Saccharomyces cerevisiae S288C: one gene and its partners. The main gene of each other region encodes a partner of the protein of the gene in region 2 in a complex. Each region holds a gene or a part of one and is shown on either strand. Other genes may lie near its edges. The genes, in order: MRPL32, MRPL10, MRP35 and MRPL6.

Region 1 (4,539 bases), on a different chromosome or scaffold from region 2:
CACCATTAATCAATCAGCTCACCTGCGCATTTCCAATAATCGTGCTCATGAAGATCATAAAGAAACGTCCAAACATGAAAGTGCTCCTTTAGAATTTCTAAATCCAAACGATATATGTACCCCTCGTTGATTTGTCCTAAAATGAGTATAGCTTGATTTTCGTTATATATTTTTTCATAGTATTCAGAAGAGGAGAGAGGATGTGATTTATCAATATCTGCATTAAGTAATGAACTTTGCCCTCTACTGAGGATATTCCCACTAGAAAACTATAAAAAATGGGAGAAAGTCAATCGCTGTTCAGGATTCAACATAGTTGTTGACAACGTATGATAAGAAGGCCAGTCCAGTCCTCCTAAGTTAGGTTAAGGGAGGTAGGGAAAAACTGAAGTGTAATGATAATCGAGGATGAAAGTGTGCGGCCAGAAAAATCTTTTCTTTTTATATTAATCTGTAATAAATACAAGACCTATATATTAAAGTAAAACAACATTGAATCAGATCGCATACTGGTGTAGACGTGAAGTAGACATATGATAATCGAGCAGGGTGCTCAATTTGGTGTGGGACACGTTTGGGAAGGTTAAAAGAAGAGGTATATCCGGATTACATTTATTTTTGGCGTATTTTAATAATTTACTAAAAGCGCGAATAGCTTCCCATTAGCAACGCTCAGGGACTCTTTCTAATGTTTATAGTAATACTTTAATAAGATGAGTACCAATTGCTTCTCTATGAGGCACAATCCCTAACCAAACTTTTATTTAGAATTACCGGTAAACTCCGTTTTCTTCATAGATTAAATATTTGGCTAAGACAACAAAATGTTCTTTCATTTTACCAAACGAGAAGGTGATAGCTGTACGCCAGAAAAGAAGGTAAAAACTCTCGCCAATCCAGCAATACCTGTACCTCTAGTTTTCGATCGCATTATGTCATTATGTAAAACCAAGGAGAGAAGCAAGTTACGGTGTTTTCATATAGAATAATTTGAGAATTCTTAATAACATAAGATATATAATCACCACCATTCTTATGAGATTCAACGTTGAATGGCGTTGCTAGACATATGAGCTGAGGAACGACTATTCGCATTTTCTTTCAAGGCAATTAATTGTCTTGCTCTGAACCCTTCATAATGAATGTAGGAAGTTGTTTCGATTAAGTCTTGGAGATGAGTTCGAATCAAAAATTCCCTTAAATATACAAAATCACACTGGTTGATATCCTCAACATTAATAGCGCTCCAACGAGTTTTTCTTCCCCTGAAGGTTTCACCGTTTATTTCAATCTCATTCTCAGAACCAACCACTGCAAACGGAATGATAGATCTAACACTTCTGTTTAGTTCTAATTCCTCGTCAGTTAGTTCTTCCGAATCATAAGGATAAATCTTGAAATTGTATTTTTCGAATTCATTTTGAATAAGCTCCCTAAACTCCGTTCTTTCATCTAAAGTCAATGTATCCGACTTGCCAATAACTGGTATAACATTTGCTATTTCTGTCAATCTTTTCAAGGCTTCAACGTCAAGGCGGCTCAACTCCTTTCCATTTGGTTGCAGGAAATAAAGAATTGCATGAACTCTTGTATCAGTAATAAACCTTTCACGTTGGGCTGTCAATTCTTTACGTAAGTATTGAGAATGTTGTTCCTTAATGTACTTCACAATAGGCTCCCAAGCTTTAGAATTGTCAATAAAGTCACCAAATCCAGGTGTATCTATAACATTAATATTCAAGCGAACGCGGTCCTCCACAAGAGTATGAGTAGAAATTTTCATTTCAGTTGTTTTTGTAACAGGCAGGGCAGAAATATCATCACCAGTAGCAGAATCAATCAAATGTGAGGCAAATAACGTATTTATTAGAGTACTTTTACCCAATCCGGATTGGCCAACAACCATTATATTAAATTGAAAACCTTTCTTCAACAGACGATGTTCGATCTGATTCGTGATGGTATCAAAACCAACATAAGAAGCAGGCTGTACTGAGCTGAGAGGATCCATTAATATATTTATAGAGTGCTTGTAGTAACCGTGGGGCTTGGCCTTGTATTTTCTTGTCTTTGCCTGAAAAAAGTTAAGTATTACTGATACATGTTTACATATATTCTATTCAGCGATTCTGATCTATTTGTGGTCTCTCGAGGAAATCTCATCGTATCATACGATTATTTCCGCAAGCATTCAGAAAGCAAATCTTAATATAAGGCACAATGTTCCCAAATAATACCTTAACTTGGAGACAAAAACACCAGGGAATATCAGCAAACAAACTATGAATTCTTTGATTTTTGGTAAACAATTAGCATTTCACAAAATTGTGCCTACCACTGCAATTGGGTGGTTGGTACCGCTAGGAAATCCTTCACTGCAGATTCCAGGCCAAAAACAACTGGGATCTATCCACCGTTGGTTGAGAGAAAAGCTACAACAAGATCATAAGGACACTGAAGATAAAGATTTTTTCTCTAATAATGGTATTCTACTAGCAGTTCCTAAAAAAAAAGTATCACACCAAAAAAAAAGGCAAAAACTTTACGGTCCAGGTAAGAAGCAATTGAAGATGATTCACCATTTGAATAAGTGCCCATCATGCGGCCATTATAAGAGAGCCAATACACTGTGTATGTATTGTGTTGGACAAATAAGTCATATATGGAAAACGCATACCGCTAAAGAAGAAATTAAGCCGAGACAAGAGGAGGAACTTTCCGAACTAGACCAAAGAGTCCTATATCCTGGTAGAAGAGATACCAAATATACCAAGGATTTGAAAGATAAAGATAACTATTTGGAACGTCGCGTTCGGACTTTAAAAAAGGACTAGGCTCATCTTTCATCTAGTGGTTTCCTTTTTAAATAAACTTAAGCCTGTATATAGAAACTTAATTTCAAACTGTATATTTATTGTTTAAGACAGCATCAATGGTAGAATACAAGGAGCGGAAACAGAAAGAAAAGTCGAAATAGAATTTTTCGCTTTTGGCTTAACAAAATGAGGTCTTTGAAATCAAGAGTTTTGCTTGACAAAAAACAACTATATTTCAAAATATTAGGAAATGATATTATTAGTACAAGGACTTACAGAAATATACTTTTAATATAAAAAGGAAAAAATAAAATAAAAAGAGTTAATTCTTTATTAATTTTCCAACGTCCTACATTGATATATCTGCTGAGATAGAATTAATGTTAGTAAGAACTAAATATTAGACGCGAACTGTTGTTTCTTACATGACAGTACAGCAGGATAATAATCCTTTGTCCTCCTTCTTTTCTGCAGTTGTAGCTGCTGCAGGTTTAGTTTGTCTCTTAGCCGCATCAGAAGTAGTGGTCTTCTTTTCAGTGGAGGGCTTGGCTTCTTTTGCAGGGAAAAGTTTTTTGGCGGTTTCGTAGAATGTTTTACCTTGAATTTCAGCAATTCTCAATTCAAGTGGAGACGCAGTTCTTGAGCCGTCAGGTCCTGCAAGGGTACCAGCACCCCATGGAGAGCCACCGTGTACCTCTTCTATACTGGCTAACTCAGCAAATGAATTCTTATAACCCAGTGGTAAAAAGATAATTCCGTGATGAGCTAAATAAGACAAACAGGCTTTAACGGTACTTTCTTGACCACCTCCGTAACTGGAAGTACTAACGAATATCCCCGCAGCTTTGCCGTTCAAAGAGCCCTTGGCCCATAATCCACCGGTTTTATCCCAAAAGGCGGACCATTGAGCCGGCAAATTACCAAACCTAGTTGGAACACCGAACAAAAAGGCGTCATATTCGAGCAACGTTTTCTCAGTGGCAACAGGAATATCTTCAGGTTTCTGAGGAGCGTTCATCTTGGTGAGGACTTCATCAGGTAAAGTTTCCTCGACCCTGTATATATCAGCTTTACCACCAGCTGCCTCCACACCTTTCTTAACAGCTTGGGCTAAAACGTCTATGTGCCCGTAGGTAGAGTAAGTAATTATCGCAATCTTTACCATTCTTATAGTGCTTCAATTGAGTCTGTATTGTTTTGTTTACTCTCTTTTTTTTTATTGATACTAACCTGACCCCTCTTTTCCTTTTTCCTCTTCTTGTTTTCTTTCTGATAAAGTTTACAAACTTCAAATAAAAATGAACGTAAAACAAGTAAAAATGTAGGATGTTATAGTATCAACTAGCTGCCGGAATAGTGCAAATTGTATGAATCGAAATAAGTACGCTAGCCAAGGCAGTAAGGCCTAATGCCCTTAGGCAAATTTATTATTTATATTAAGTTCCAAGAAGGGGAAGCGCCTTCTTTCCCCGCAGTACAGTATTTTACCCGGAGGTTCTTAATAAGTTATTACTAAAAGGGTCATAACGGATTTATTAATAATGGGATTATAAAAATAATGCGTGTGTACCTAGTTATCGCGTGATAGCTTCCGCAATTTTCCAACCATTAGTAAATTTTATGTAACTAAAACGAGGAAGGAAATAGTAACGTTCATTTTCTTAATTATAAATATCATTATCATAGTGTATGGTTAAAAGAATATATTATTGTATTAAATAAG
Region 2 (5,042 bases):
AACCCAGGTGGGTAAGAATTGAGATGGAGCAAATAGTTGAAAGGTGTGACATAAGAAGGTGAGTTCGTCATCAGTCATCTGACGTACGGCTTTTCTTGTTGCTGTCGGAATAATATCACCGAGATTCGAATTTTGTAAAAATTTGATGTATGTTTTAACCCAATTTAGAAAGTCATTAGGTGAGGTTAACATTGGTGGTGGTCTGACATATTTTTTAGTGGATGTCATATCAGAGTCCGCTGAGGATGAATCAGTAAATGTATTACCTGACTCAGGTGATGGAGTGCTCAGAGGCGTTCCAACTGATGATGGATACTGCGGAAACTGTGAATGTGGCCCAGGTGGAAAGTACATAGGCGACATTTGATAAGGTGTATACGGAATCATAGATGGGCGTCCGTAAAATGACCAACCAGATGGATTGGCTTGGTTTTGGGTCATCATGCACTGCTGTTGGTACGGCCCATTCTGTGGTGAATGTGACTGAGCAGTTTGAGGAGAGGCATGATGGGGGTTCTCTGGAACAGCTGATGAAGCAGGTGTTGTTGTCTGTTGAGAGTTAGCCTTAGTGGAAGCCTTATCATATTCTTGAATTTTGGAAGCTGAAACGTCTAACGGATCTTGATTTGTGTGGACTTCCTTAGAAGTAACCGAAGCACAGGCGCTACCATGAGAAATGGGTGAATGTTGAGATAATTGTTGGGATTCCATTGTTGATAAAGGCTATAATATTAGGTATACAGAATATACTAGAAGTTCTCCTCGAGGATATAGGAATCCTCAAAATGGAATCTATATTTCTACATACTAATATTACGATTATTCCTCATTCCGTTTTATATGTTTCATTATCCTATTACATTATCAATCCTTGCACTTCAGCTTCCTCTAACCTCGATGACAGCTTCTCATAACTTATGTCATCATCTTAACACCGTATATGATAATATATTGATAATATAACTATTAGTTGATAGACGATAGTGGATTTTTATTCCAACAGTGTTAAAGATCTATTAGTTGATCATGTTGGAATAAAAATCCACTATCGTCTATCCAAACAATTCTCTCAAAATTCGCCCAATTCTCAAAATTCACCCATTTCCCACACATATGTGTTTTAGGAACGTTTAGGATAAGGAATCGTCATACTGACGTACCTCATTTTGAGATACAACAAATCATATATTATAAGACTCCATGGCCAAGTTGGTTAAGGCGTGCGACTGTTAATCGCAAGATCGTGAGTTCAACCCTCACTGGGGTCGTTTATTTTTTTTGTATTTGTGCTTATTTACTAAATAACCATTTCACCCTGTTATAATAATGCTTAAAAGAAGAATGTAGTTTTTCTCTTTTCCTTTAACTGCTTTACTTCTCCCGAAAAAGCAAGATGCAATCTTTTAATATGTTTGAGTTTGCTTAAAGTATATTCACAAAAAAGAAAATAAAAGTTAAAAATTTCTGAAAATCAGGACCTTATTCGATAGTTGGTCATAAATTGACTGAAAAATAGAATAATTTCGGACACCAAATGAATCATTAACAAGACAATATCTTAAGGTATGTACAAGTGAGAATATTACTTATATATAAAACGGTTAACAATTTTTTAGTGGTCCAAAGCCTTGATGTTCATGACTTTAGAATTAGACACAACTGGCACCCAATCCTTCTCTGGAGACAGTTCTTCTAGCTCTATTTCTAATGAGCTCTTTTTTACATTCTGTTTTAAAAAGTGTCTAGAACCCTTATTTTGAGCTTCTTTGATATCTTGTAAGAGTTTATCTTTTTCCATTACTAGGTAACCTCTTTTCTCTTCTTTACTATAGAAATCAATATCCCTTCTTTTCGTGGGTCTAGCCTGTAGTGGTACTCTTCCCCTCTTCTCAAGAAACCACTGGGGGTTGAGATGTGCCCTTAGACCCAACGGTGTGTAGTAACGAGCTGTAAACTTACCTCCTGCTTTTTCAATAGCCGCAATAGCCTTAGCGGATGCTCTAGAAGCCTCCAAAGCAATCGGTAGATTGTAGTGGAACTTTCCGCTGGCTAGAATTTTAACTCCGTACTTTATGGGACCAGTTACCAGACCAAGCTTTCTCATCTTATTCATGTCTAAAACCTCGCCTGGTTGCAAATGAAGCCTATTTTTATCATGAAACCATTGAATGCGTTTCAAGTTTAATTCCTTTAATGGTTTGGCGCCAACGTTGGTAAATCCAATTTTAGGAAATAGCTTGTAAATTGGAGTTTGACCACCTTCAAACCACGATTTTACTTTACCACGCGCCTTTTGACCCTTTTGACCACGCCCTGATGTCTTACCTAAACCGCTGGAAGGACCACGCCCAAGTCTTTTGAAAGACTTTGTAGAACCATCTGACGGTTTCAATTGTCCCAAAATCGAAACATAACGATAACTTTGAAATGCTAATACCGGCGATTTGAATAAACCTCGGAAAAAAATATCGTTACCAGCTACGCTAGTTAACATCATGGACGGAACAAAAGTGTTTATTAGTTTGCGACCGATTACGGTTGTAAAACTATTTCTTAATCCTGTTTGCCTTTCCGCTTTCATCAACTTCTAAAGGTCATGAGCTTTAATTTTACGCACTGCGTTTAGTGCAGTTACCTGGAGTTTCAGCCGGGTAAGAAAACTATACGATTGCCAAATAGAAAAACGGATATAAAGATAGTAGCTGTGAATAGTAGCTTTGTATAGTACATAAAGGTACCTTATCTAACATTGCTTGCGACGCAGAATACGCAAAATATACTGTTTAATTGCAATCAGGAGTTTGCTACGGTATTTGGTATAATCGGAACTCATATTGTCCTACGTTCACCGAGACCAATGAACGCACAATAAAATGGATACTTGGAATGCCCTACCCAAAATATGAGCTGCGTTTGTTTTGTGAAAAACGAAAAGTAATTAAGTTGTTTTGCAGAAGTGTGAATAATTGGGGGACGCCATTTGGTTTCTCTCTTCTGATTGATTAAAGTTAATTTCGGCACAATAACCCAATGACTGGCTAGGAAACTTCTCGATGCATCCGTGATCTCCCAAGGACGAAATGGTTTTTATCACGTCCTAACGACATCATATGTCCTCGAGGAGAACTTCTAGTATAGTATTTATTAACAATGGAATCCCAACAATCATCAAATTATTCACCAAATATACACAGATTCTTATACTAACTAAAGTAAGAAGATTAGGATTTCCATACTCATTTTGTTAAGTAGCACTTGTATATCCGGTTTTCTCAAGTTCTGAGCTTCTATGGCCAAGTTGGTAAGGCGCCACACTAGTAATGTGGAGATCATCGGTTCAAATCCGATTGGAAGCATATTATTTTTATTCTACGGTAAACATGCCTGATGGTGATTTGAGACAGACCCCATTGCCTCAGATTTGTGAAGAATAGAAAATGTGTACATTCATTTTGATAAACTATACATATACTTAACTTTTTAACATGATAAATCAATATTGATATGGTCGGTACTGTTCACTTTATCTATATTTTTTTTCTTTCGTGCAATAATCGTCGGCTTTAATAATATTATACATACAAAGGGAAAATGAAGGAAAGAAATATGAAAGGATGAATAAGTCTTTGATATGAATATGTAGTGTTGGTATCTAAACCTAGTCAGCGCAAAGAACTATTATTGGAATCCTTTGCATCATCGTAATCATCATCACCATCTGAGACATTACTCCCAATATTTGAACTCACATTATCGGGGTTGACAATGTGTAGTTGTCTTTCTTCCATCATATCGGGCAGCGAAGTAGCACTGAACCTTTGGTTCCCGTTATAGATCGAAGGAGGCTCCTCGTACACTACCGAGGGAAAGTGACTTCTTTTGCTGATATTATGTGCATCACCAGTAATAATAGAATCTCTGCCGCCCGGCGCCCTTGTCGGCAGATCATAAGTGGCAAAAGTAGACGCTGTATTCTTGGACAATGCTGTATTATTCCTAGAGGGTATGTGCCAGTTAGTGCTCGAAGCAGACGGTGGAATAACAGGGTTAGCGTCAGCATCACCCAGTGAGTACGGCTGGTACTGCTTTGTCTCTTCCAAGTCCACATGCTGAGAAGATTGGCGACGTTTTTTCCATACGAAAAAGAATAACGCCAGAGCCAACAAGGCAACTGTACCACAAACCACACCTACTACGACACCTGCGATGGCGCCACCACTCAAGCCTTTGCTCTTGGACGAGCTCGATTTCCCGTTTAAGAGAGAACTAGTAGAGGAGGACGTAGACGATACTGTTGCATAAACAGAGGTCCTGGTGGTAAAGATCGTGCTTGCTTGTTGGTTAGCTTGAGAAACCACGGACTGCGTCACCACACGGGTAGTGTAATGCGTGGAAGTACCTATTGAAGTCGATGAGGGGGTAGAAGTGACCGTTGCTGTCGAAGTTGAGGATGAGGTCGATGTGGTGGATGAAGAAGTTGCCTGCGTAGAGGACGTTTCTGAACTGGAAGAGGCAGAAGTGCTAGAGGAAGTGGTGGAAGGAGAAGAAGAAGTAGAAGTAGTACTAGAGGTAGTAGAAGTAGTAGAAGTAGTAGACGTAGAAGAGGAAGAGGATGAAGAAGAGGAGGAAGTAGTTGTCTCTGAAGAGGAAGTGGTAGTGGAGGTTGTAGACGAGGAAGAGGATGAGTGCGTAGCAGAAGAACTAGTTGAAGTTTTCGTGTCCAATTTCGTGGACGTTTTTGAACTAACACTTGTGCTTGATGAAGATGTTGTCGATGTTGAGGTAGCAGTAGATGAAGTTGAGTCCGCGGTAGAAGCAGCGTTATTGATATAAACGTTCATGGCAGAAGAACCACCACAATTTTGGTAGGGCCAGCCAGCACACGAAACATCACATTTGCTCGAATCTACCTGCGTCAAAGACTGTAACTGAGCTACGGAACCACCACAGTAGCAACCTGTACCGTTGAAAAGAGCAACGACAGCCTGACCAGGGCATTCATTTTGACAGTAGGAAACTGATTGATACTCGTAAACACCCTT
Region 3 (4,694 bases), 290 kb from region 2:
TTTCTTTTAATGTTAATATATTGCTATCATCTACTGACTTTGACTTGCTGAAAATCTCAAAATTTTCATTGTCAATGATAAAAGTCGATACTTCCGATGCATTGTTGAAAAATTCGTTAACATCAATAAAATGGACATTAAATATGTTGGATATTTTATTCAGTTGTGACATTTTTTCATTAATCAAGGATTCCATACGTTCTTTGATAACAGAAACATTTTCCTCGGTGAATACCGTGAGTACATCGACGGTAAAGCCTGTACGATTATTGTGTTGCTTAGTTTGTTCCAATAGCAAGTCGTGCACAATATCTAACATAACCAGAGATCCTGAATCAGAATGTGATAAGGGGAGCAGAATCTTAGAGACGGATCCTTCTTTTTCAAATGGGTATATAACTTTAAATAGGTTCCTGAAATATTCATCCTTCATCATTTGTTTCCTTTGTTTAGTACTAACAAACTTGATGAAACATTCATCGCAAAACTTTTCCTTTCTAGACTCAACTGTCGCTGGATTTCTGGCAGATGCAGGGCACCTCTGGCACTCCATAACTTGATAGAATTATATTTTTAAAACTAGGATAGGGATGGACAATAGCAAATACAGAAACCGAAGTTAATTTTATGCTCGTCTCACTCATCTCATCGGTACTATAACAGTTTTTCACTGCGTAACTGAAAAAAACTCCATAATACGTAGATAATGATGATGTAATTAAGTCAACTATTCAAAAATAATAAAGATGACTTTATTGAAAGAAACACTGTGCAGGCAACTTCAAATGTTTCCATAAGGTTCAACAGTGTTATATCATTTCAGAAACAAACATTCAAGGATTAAGTGGAAGGAAAGAAAGAGTTTCATTGCCATTAGTTTAAAATATACAATATCACTGTATACGATGAATAAGATGGCGTTAAACCACCTTTTGTGTTTGGACGACCAGTGGAAAAGATCTTAAAGGAATTAAGAGGAACTCCACCACTCACCATAAAAGAGAAGCAAGATTCGGAAGTGAAATTACAGCTCACATCTAGGTTCTCAATTGCCAATGAAGAGCTTCATTACAAGGAACAAGACAGCCATTTTGGCAACCGTTGCTGCTACAGGTACTGCCATCGGTGCCTACTATTATTACAACCAATTGCAACAACAACAACAACGAGGAAAAAAGAACACGATCAACAAAGATGAAAAAAAGGACACAAAGGACTCTCAAAAGGAGACTGAAGGTGCTAAGAAATCTACAGCCCCATCAAATCCTCCTATCTACCCGGTTTCTAGTAATGGCGAACCAGATTTTTCCAATAAGGCAAATTTCACCGCTGAAGAAAAGGATAAATATGCATTAGCGTTAAAGGACAAAGGTAACCAGTTCTTTAGAAATAAAAAATATGACGATGCTATTAAGTACTATAATTGGGCATTAGAATTGAAAGAAGACCCAGTTTTCTACTCGAATTTATCGGCTTGCTATGTTTCTGTGGGTGACTTGAAAAAAGTTGTTGAAATGAGTACTAAGGCTCTTGAATTAAAACCAGACTACTCAAAAGTTTTACTGAGAAGAGCTTCTGCTAACGAAGGGCTAGGAAAATTTGCGGATGCGATGTTCGATTTGTCTGTATTGTCTCTAAATGGTGACTTCAATGACGCCTCTATTGAACCAATGTTGGAGAGGAACTTGAATAAGCAAGCTATGTCTAAATTGAAAGAAAAGTTTGGCGATATTGACACCGCTACTGCTACTCCAACTGAATTATCCACCCAACCAGCTAAAGAACGCAAAGACAAGCAGGAAAACTTGCCTTCAGTTACATCCATGGCCTCTTTCTTTGGTATTTTCAAACCCGAGTTGACTTTTGCCAATTATGATGAATCCAATGAAGCTGATAAAGAGTTAATGAACGGTTTAAGTAATTTGTACAAAAGATCTCCCGAAAGTTACGACAAGGCTGATGAGTCTTTCACGAAAGCTGCAAGGTTATTTGAAGAACAATTGGACAAGAACAATGAGGATGAAAAGTTAAAGGAAAAATTGGCCATCTCATTAGAACACACAGGTATTTTCAAGTTCTTGAAAAACGATCCATTGGGAGCTCACGAAGACATCAAGAAAGCTATTGAATTGTTCCCAAGAGTCAATTCATATATCTACATGGCATTAATCATGGCTGATAGAAATGACTCGACTGAATATTATAACTACTTCGATAAAGCGCTGAAACTGGACTCAAACAATTCTTCTGTTTACTATCACCGCGGCCAAATGAATTTCATTTTACAAAACTATGATCAAGCAGGAAAAGATTTTGATAAAGCTAAGGAATTAGACCCAGAGAATATCTTCCCTTATATTCAATTAGCATGTCTAGCGTACCGTGAAAACAAGTTTGATGACTGTGAAACTTTGTTTAGTGAAGCTAAGAGAAAATTTCCAGAGGCACCAGAAGTTCCAAATTTCTTTGCTGAAATTTTAACAGACAAGAACGATTTTGACAAGGCTTTGAAGCAGTACGATTTGGCTATTGAATTAGAAAACAAGTTGGATGGTATTTATGTTGGAATTGCGCCTTTGGTCGGTAAAGCCACTTTGTTGACAAGAAATCCAACAGTAGAAAATTTTATTGAAGCCACGAATTTATTAGAAAAAGCGTCCAAACTAGACCCAAGAAGTGAGCAAGCTAAAATCGGTTTAGCTCAAATGAAATTGCAGCAGGAAGATATCGATGAAGCTATTACATTATTCGAAGAATCCGCTGATTTGGCTAGAACTATGGAAGAGAAATTACAAGCCATTACTTTTGCTGAAGCCGCTAAAGTTCAACAAAGAATTAGGTCTGATCCAGTATTGGCTAAAAAGATTCAAGAAACTTTAGCTAAATTACGCGAACAGGGTTTAATGTAAACAGTAAACATAAACTTAAAAACTTTTAGGAGAAGACAAAAACTAAGTAACAAAGTAGACTAAATGACAAAGGAAGAGCAGCAATGACATTGACATCTCACTTTGAAAATTTTTGTTTTCATTTTTGTTTCAATATACACGTATGCATGTTCTAATATATATATATATATCTTTTTCTTTTTCTCTTTCATTCTGTAAATAATTAGCAGTGCGTATAAACCACAACCAATTTTTTCAACCTTGAAGCCCTCGCCAATTTGCGGAGCCTAAAAAAATCTGGTCAAATACAAAAAAGATAGTATATATATCTATCATGAAAATTAGCTTGCATAACAAACGGCAACGAGGAGACCAAAACCAAAACATGTCTGTTTTCAATGTACTCAAACCACTACTTAAAGGTTCAAATAGTTTCAAAGTGAAGCTCAACGGCTTTCTATTCAATAACGTTTCTACAATAACAATAAGAACTTTAATGAAAACTCATAAAGGTACAGCAAAGAGGTGGAGGCGTACCGGTAATACTTTTAAAAGAGGCATAGCTGGAAGAAAACATGGCAATATAGGCTGGTCCCATAGATCATTAAAAGCCTTAACCGGAAGGAAAATTGCCCATCCAGCTTATTCAAAGCATCTAAAGCGGTTATTACCCTATCATTGAAGGTGGAATAATTATGTTCTCCTCTAAACCAAACGCACCGTTAACCCCAAATCAATTGTTTGAGTATTTGCTTTCGGTCTTCATGTATATAAATAAGTATGAAACAATAACCATAAATTTATACAATCGATAATACCTTAGAGAATTCAAGCGTTGAAGTAATTAAATACTATTTCGTCAGGCGCTTGCAACCATCTCGACATCATAATCCTAACCCCTCAAAATGATTGAAAAACTTGTAAATCTTAACGCTCCTGTGATAGTCTATAAAAAAACTGTTCTTTATGGAAGACTTTGATGTATACATACATACATACATATATAAATGTTTTATCAAATCTGGCCTATTTTTCACTTTGGCTGTTGCCGGTAAATTCCTTTTCAATCCATTTGTGCGTGATGTTGTCCCTCTTCAATTCTGCAGTAGGGAAGTAATGATAATTCGTTTTCAGTGAAATAGCGAAGGGCACATTGTCGAAAGTCATTAACCTCATTTTACAATAACTATTATCAGGGATTGTTTTGACAACTTTCAAAAATGTATCTAGATCAGGTGTTTCAATTTCATTGACATGAGTTATGAAGTTTGTGGCAGATATACCGTACTGGAGCGCCGGTGACGATTCTCCCCTGAATGTACAGTAGACACCCTTTGGAACATCAACCATAGCTTGCAAAACAGCATGATGCGGCTTTTGTAAGATACTACCTGCAAATATTACAAAACGGTCGGTTTCCTGAACTTCCACGGTTTTAATTTTCAAATCAACAATATTACCATCACGAACAACTTTAAAATCTAACATGGCTGATGGCAAAATACCATCAGCTGAGCTTACAACTCCATTCAAATCATTCATTTCAGTGACTAATTTTCCGTTCACAGATAAAATGACGTCACCGGTCTCTAAATGAATCTTGTCTTCTGTATAAGAAACTCTAGAAACAGTGATAAACTGTAGCCTGTTATTTGATTCATGTTCCATACGCATGATCCATTCTTCGGGCACACCTCTAATTCTGGCTTGCAGAACGGAAATTGAACCGAACCCAGCATCAACTATACTTACTCTTGGTTTACCGCCATTTTTTAAGATATCTATAACTTCCCTACAGTCCATTAT
Region 4 (4,840 bases), on a different chromosome or scaffold from region 2:
TGAAATTCTTTAAATTTTTTTTTTTTTTTTTTTCGCGAAGCGATAAACTTTTTTGCAGCTCGAAGAGGAAAACTGCTCACCCAAATAGGAAAGTTCATCGAAAAGACAAGGTTTCTTCCGTATTTTTTCTCTTTTTATCTCAATAAGAACTTTTAATAATCAATAACAAACTCATGGTGAAGCTTTTGTGGGGAGCAGGCCTTGTCTTTATCCATATCGAATTTTTCACTGGTTCTTCTTTTCATTCTTTCATTACCTTTCATAGTTTTTCGTTGAACTCATATAGCGTCACATAGTTCTAACAAAGATATAGTTCGCGATGTACCACACCCATATGCATGAAAGTTTAATATCTGTGACTTCAACGGTAAGTGTTTCTGATGCGTCTTATGCTTATGCAAGGCTCACTAGAAGAGACGATAGCGATTCATCTTCTTCCTCAGCATCCAGCACGAAAAATAGCAAATCTGCTGAATGTACAGGCTCTAAACAGCAATGTCAATTACCCACAGATTCGAGTCACAGCACCAGTGTAACTGTTGGTGTGGCTGTTGCGGTACCAGTAGGTGTCATTATCATTGTTCTGGCTGTGATACTTTGCATTGTGTATAGGAGAAGCAAAAAGGAAGCTGAGGAAGATAATGATCCAGATTTCGAAGGAGATTCTGAATTTTTACCGACAATGAAGGATTATTCACCTGGAATAAATCATTTGTACTCTAGCGACTCGCAGCAAGACTTCATGGAAAAGACCTTGCAACAGCCGCCTTCAGATCCCTTTGTTGGTAGCATGCATAGTAGTAAATATAATGTGAGAAGCGCTACCCCACCTGCAATTGGTCGGTCATGGTACGTAGACCCGTTTCAGCTTCCACAGGAATCGAACGACTCTAACAGTTTGAGAGATTTTGCCATGAGAGTACAAGAAGATGGACTAGGTGGCTATAAAGTTGCGGCCGAGTCTAGAAATGCCAGTCAAACGTCCTTGCATCCTGATAACTTTTCGAATTGTACACCAATAAGAGCGTCTTCAAGATTTCAAGAGAGTGAAAGCTTTCGATCTCACGGTAGCCCAATCCATAATAACCAGCTTTCCCGTGGTTCTGCCACAGAAGGTGCCAACAAGCAGTTTACATTTCCTAATGAAGACAATGATTCGTCCTCAGTTAGTGAAGAGGCTGAGGTTTTGAATGAGTCAAATGAGTCTGCAAGCAATGACGCGTTCGAATTCGAACTTGATAATAGTTCAGAAAAGACACATGAAAGGAATCTGCGTTTTGGTAAGGATGATGATAATTATGAACTTCAAGATATCAGAGAAGCTGAACATATGAATGATCGTAGTAGCAGTAAAAGTCAAGATGATGATTACTATGTATCACTCTTATCCCCTAATGAAGAAGAAGATATTAAGAGAATGAAAAGTATTTATCAAGTTTATTTGGATAGAGCTAAAACAATGAAAAAGGAAGAGGATAAAGCAGATAATGCAAATGATATATCGCAGGAGGAGAATAGAGTGGATAATATAGTCCAGAATCCACTGCCTTCTATCAAAATTAATAATAACGACAATATCGACAATAATGAGGTACCGGAAGCAAAACACCTGGTGAAAGAAGCACTTCCTCTAAACAATACTAACTTGGCAGAATATGGTCCAGAAATGGCCCAAAGCCAGAAACAATATCCAGTGCAGGATACACTCACCGTGAACGATACGGAAGCAGCGCCTTCCAATAGAATTGCTTCCTCAATTTATTCCGAAGCAATTCAGCCGTTGAATTATCAGGATCAATATCAACAACAGGAACAATCACCAGTATATAATGGCCACACACAGTATCCTGGCAATGGATATAGCGGAAATCCTCAGCAACAGGGGTATACTGCGCAATTCGTGCAAAATCCACAATGGTACGGTGTACCAACTCCTCAACAACAGCAACATAATCATCCTCAGACCCTGGAAACTATTGGAGAATTACCAACTCCCGCATATTTAGCTCAATCAGCTTCCTCGCATTCATTGACCTCTTTTAAAAGACCAAACAAGCAACAACTTCTTCAATTACAGACTGCCAGACTAAACGGAACTGCGTTAAATCCGGTCGATCATCCGGAAATGTTTTATTCACCGACAAACGATGCCTATTATGCTCCACAGCAGCAAGGCCAATATATGAAGTTTAACGAAAATGGGGCGGTTCCTTCACCTTATCAACTTAGACAAAGTGTGGTAATGACCAATCCTTCGGATTTGACGGCAAAACCATCTTATAAGCCAGCAGGTTCTTTCAGAAGTGTAAGCGCAACCAATTCAAGAAATAACAGTCTGACCACACAAAATAATATCTATCTGCAACAGCAGCAGCAGCAACTGTATAATTCTCGTGTTAGTGGGATATTAGAAGAGACAGATGTTGTACAGCCACCAAGTGTTGGTGGAATTTTGCCACATAGTGGTTCACAGGACGATTTAAGAAAACAATTAGGCTCTTCACATAATTATACCGTCAACTGAAGTGTAGATAATGAACGGACAATTATCGGATATATAAATTGATGTTTTATTGGAGAAATTTTACAAATTGCGTATTTATACAAATTAATTTATGTTAAATAGGATTTTTTCGAAGTGTATTTTTAAGTTTTAAGGCATATTTAACAAATGACGCCGATGAGAAATTGTTTTGCGGTTTTTCTTATTTTTGCATACGACGAAGAAGTTCCTTTGTGTATATAACAATTTTTCATGCTTCCAGCTTTTAAGAAAGCTCAGGCGCCTCACATCATTTGTATTTGCTGCCTCGTTGCCTATTCGTAATAATTTCACAATGTAGGAAGATGATAAATCGAGTATTGATACAGAAAACGTAAGTTTGTAGTCAATTTATGAAAAATCAAAATCGTCGATTTGGTTTCTGTATCTCAACAAGGTTTTCTTGATCTTAGAGTTGTCCACCCAAGTAACGTAGTCCTCCATATTTCTCGTTACGAGGTAGGCTGGATCGTTGATCAAATTTGGACCCACGCGAACATGCCCTTGTTCAATGAACTTGACTGCATCTTGTATAGTTTCCGCCATTTTTAATCTATGCATTATTACAGGTAATCGCCTCCTACAGATGGCACTAACAGTAACTTTATTTTCCAGATCAGAAATCTTTGATTTAGTTGTCAGGACACCCATAGCGTATAGCTTGTCCAGTAATAATTGCTCATGTTTGCGACGAAATGGATCAGTGGGAGGTAATAATGATAATTTATTGGCAAGACGACGAATATCACCGCATATCCTATTGTATTTATGATAATCTTCACGATTCTGAATATGATATGTTCTCATGACCTGAGTGTCCCGGTGGCCTTGGTCCTGCTTCCATTCAAGGAAGTCTACTTTTTTCAATAACTTTTGCTCATGATGCTTTAGTTTTCTAACCATTATTGGTTGTGATTATGCCTGGTGGTTTATCTATTTAGAACGTTCTATATTACTTATCCCATTGAATTTTTGTTGCGATGAGCTTATATCAGTGAAATTTTTTTCACTGGAAGTAGAGGGTAATGAAAGGCGAGCGGAAATAGCGAGGAGACGCTACGGTTATAGAGGAAGAATATCAAATACTAGTAAGTAAGGGAAGATCACGCAATAAAGCTATCGCAAATCTTACTATAGGAATTGAGGCCAACCTATGTCATTTATTCAGAGGAGGTTATTGTCGCAAACACTTTTTCTGCGCTCTCAAGTGGGGTCTTTACCACTTTATATATCTCCTGAAGTTCAGGTTTCCATAAATGCATTATCCATGCCCAGGATTATCAGAAAAGGTAGAACTTCAATGAATATATCACAGAATATCACAGTAAAGGGACCCAAGGGTGAATTGTCCGTGGAGGTCCCTGATTTTTTGCACTTGGACAAGGATGAAAAGCACGGTAAAATAAATGTTACAGTTCAGAATTCAGAAGATAAACATCAACGTTCGATGTGGGGTACAGTAAGATCACTTATAAATAATCACATTATAGGTGTTACTGAGGGGCATCTTGCTGTCCTTAGATTTGTAGGGACAGGTTATAGAGCTCAATTAGAAAATGATGGTAAATTTGTCAACGTTAAGGTGGGTGCATCTATCAAACAAGGATTGGACGTTCCTGAAGGTATTGTTGTCAAAACACCTGCTCCCACGTCTCTGATTATTGAAGGGTGCAATAAGCAGCAGGTCCTTCTTTTTGCTGCCAAATTGAGAAAATTCCATCCACCAGAGCCGTATAAAGGCAAAGGAATATACGTTAACGATGAAACAATAAAGCTAAAGGACAAGAAAATCAAATAACTTCAGGATTTCAGTTATTTTCGTACTCATTTTCGTAATTTTTTTTATGACATGTATCTTTTCTTATACTTTATAGGGAATACCTTGTAAATATCCTATGAAAATAACTTAAATGAAATTTATATTGGTTATTAATGCGGTGACGTGTTCTTGCTTGGTAAACATTTTGGTGTTCAATGAAACTCTTGGCTTGCAACCTTTAATATATACTAGTTTCACGGAATATGAACGCAATAAGTAAGGCCACAGAAGTTCGAACCTTACCTTTCATTTTATACAGTTTCGAAAAGGGAACACCATTTAGACTAGAAACCAAATATCCTCTTTAACGTTCTGCTAATGCTATATATTTTTTGATTCCAACGCTAATAAAGATTTTTTTTCTTGAGTACTTTTCATGTTTTGTTGTAGAGAGCCCATTTAAAACAAAGATGTTTACCAGAAAACAAAAGAAAAGATCAAATAAGTGAGTAAATGAAATGCTGTACCTTCCAATTTCT

Evidence for each region.
Region 1: MRPL10 (region 2) and MRPL32 share a complex: the UniProt entries of both Saccharomyces cerevisiae proteins name them as parts of the mitochondrial large ribosomal subunit.
Region 3: MRPL10 (region 2) and MRP35 share a complex: the UniProt entries of both Saccharomyces cerevisiae proteins name them as parts of the mitochondrial large ribosomal subunit.
Region 4: MRPL10 (region 2) and MRPL6 share a complex: the UniProt entries of both Saccharomyces cerevisiae proteins name them as parts of the mitochondrial large ribosomal subunit.

What each region holds. Positions count from the first base shown.
Region 1 is NC_001135.5:116,338-120,876, forward strand, and holds MRPL32 (mitochondrial 54S ribosomal protein bL32m MRPL32), read left to right. Parts: upstream 1-2,282; coding exon 2,283-2,834; downstream 2,835-4,539. Other genes in the region: septin CDC10, read right to left, coding at 1,043-2,011; YCP4 (flavodoxin-like fold family protein), read right to left, coding at 3,238-3,981. UniProt on the Saccharomyces cerevisiae protein: Component of the mitochondrial ribosome (mitoribosome), a dedicated translation machinery responsible for the synthesis of mitochondrial genome-encoded proteins, including at least some of the essential transmembrane subunits of the mitochondrial respiratory chain.
Region 2 is NC_001146.8:101,522-106,563, forward strand, and holds MRPL10 (mitochondrial 54S ribosomal protein uL15m MRPL10), read right to left. Parts: upstream 2,582-5,042; coding exon 1,613-2,581; downstream 1-1,612. Other genes in the region: YNL284C-A (gag protein), read right to left, coding at 1-711; WSC2 (Wsc2p), read right to left, coding at 3,663-5,042. UniProt on the Saccharomyces cerevisiae protein: Component of the mitochondrial ribosome (mitoribosome), a dedicated translation machinery responsible for the synthesis of mitochondrial genome-encoded proteins, including at least some of the essential transmembrane subunits of the mitochondrial respiratory chain.
Region 3 is NC_001146.8:396,899-401,592, reverse strand, and holds MRP35 (mitochondrial 54S ribosomal protein bL35m MRP35), read left to right. Parts: upstream 1-3,222; coding exon 3,223-3,570; downstream 3,571-4,694. Other genes in the region: NCS2 (Ncs2p), read right to left, coding at 1-553; protein channel TOM70, read left to right, coding at 1,056-2,909; NMA111 (Nma111p), read right to left, coding at 3,915-4,694. UniProt on the Saccharomyces cerevisiae protein: Component of the mitochondrial ribosome (mitoribosome), a dedicated translation machinery responsible for the synthesis of mitochondrial genome-encoded proteins, including at least some of the essential transmembrane subunits of the mitochondrial respiratory chain.
Region 4 is NC_001140.6:392,139-396,978, reverse strand, and holds MRPL6 (mitochondrial 54S ribosomal protein uL6m MRPL6), read left to right. Parts: upstream 1-3,695; coding exon 3,696-4,340; downstream 4,341-4,840. Other genes in the region: SKG6 (Skg6p), read left to right, coding at 320-2,524; snoRNA-binding rRNA-processing protein IMP3, read right to left, coding at 2,894-3,445. UniProt on the Saccharomyces cerevisiae protein: Component of the mitochondrial ribosome (mitoribosome), a dedicated translation machinery responsible for the synthesis of mitochondrial genome-encoded proteins, including at least some of the essential transmembrane subunits of the mitochondrial respiratory chain.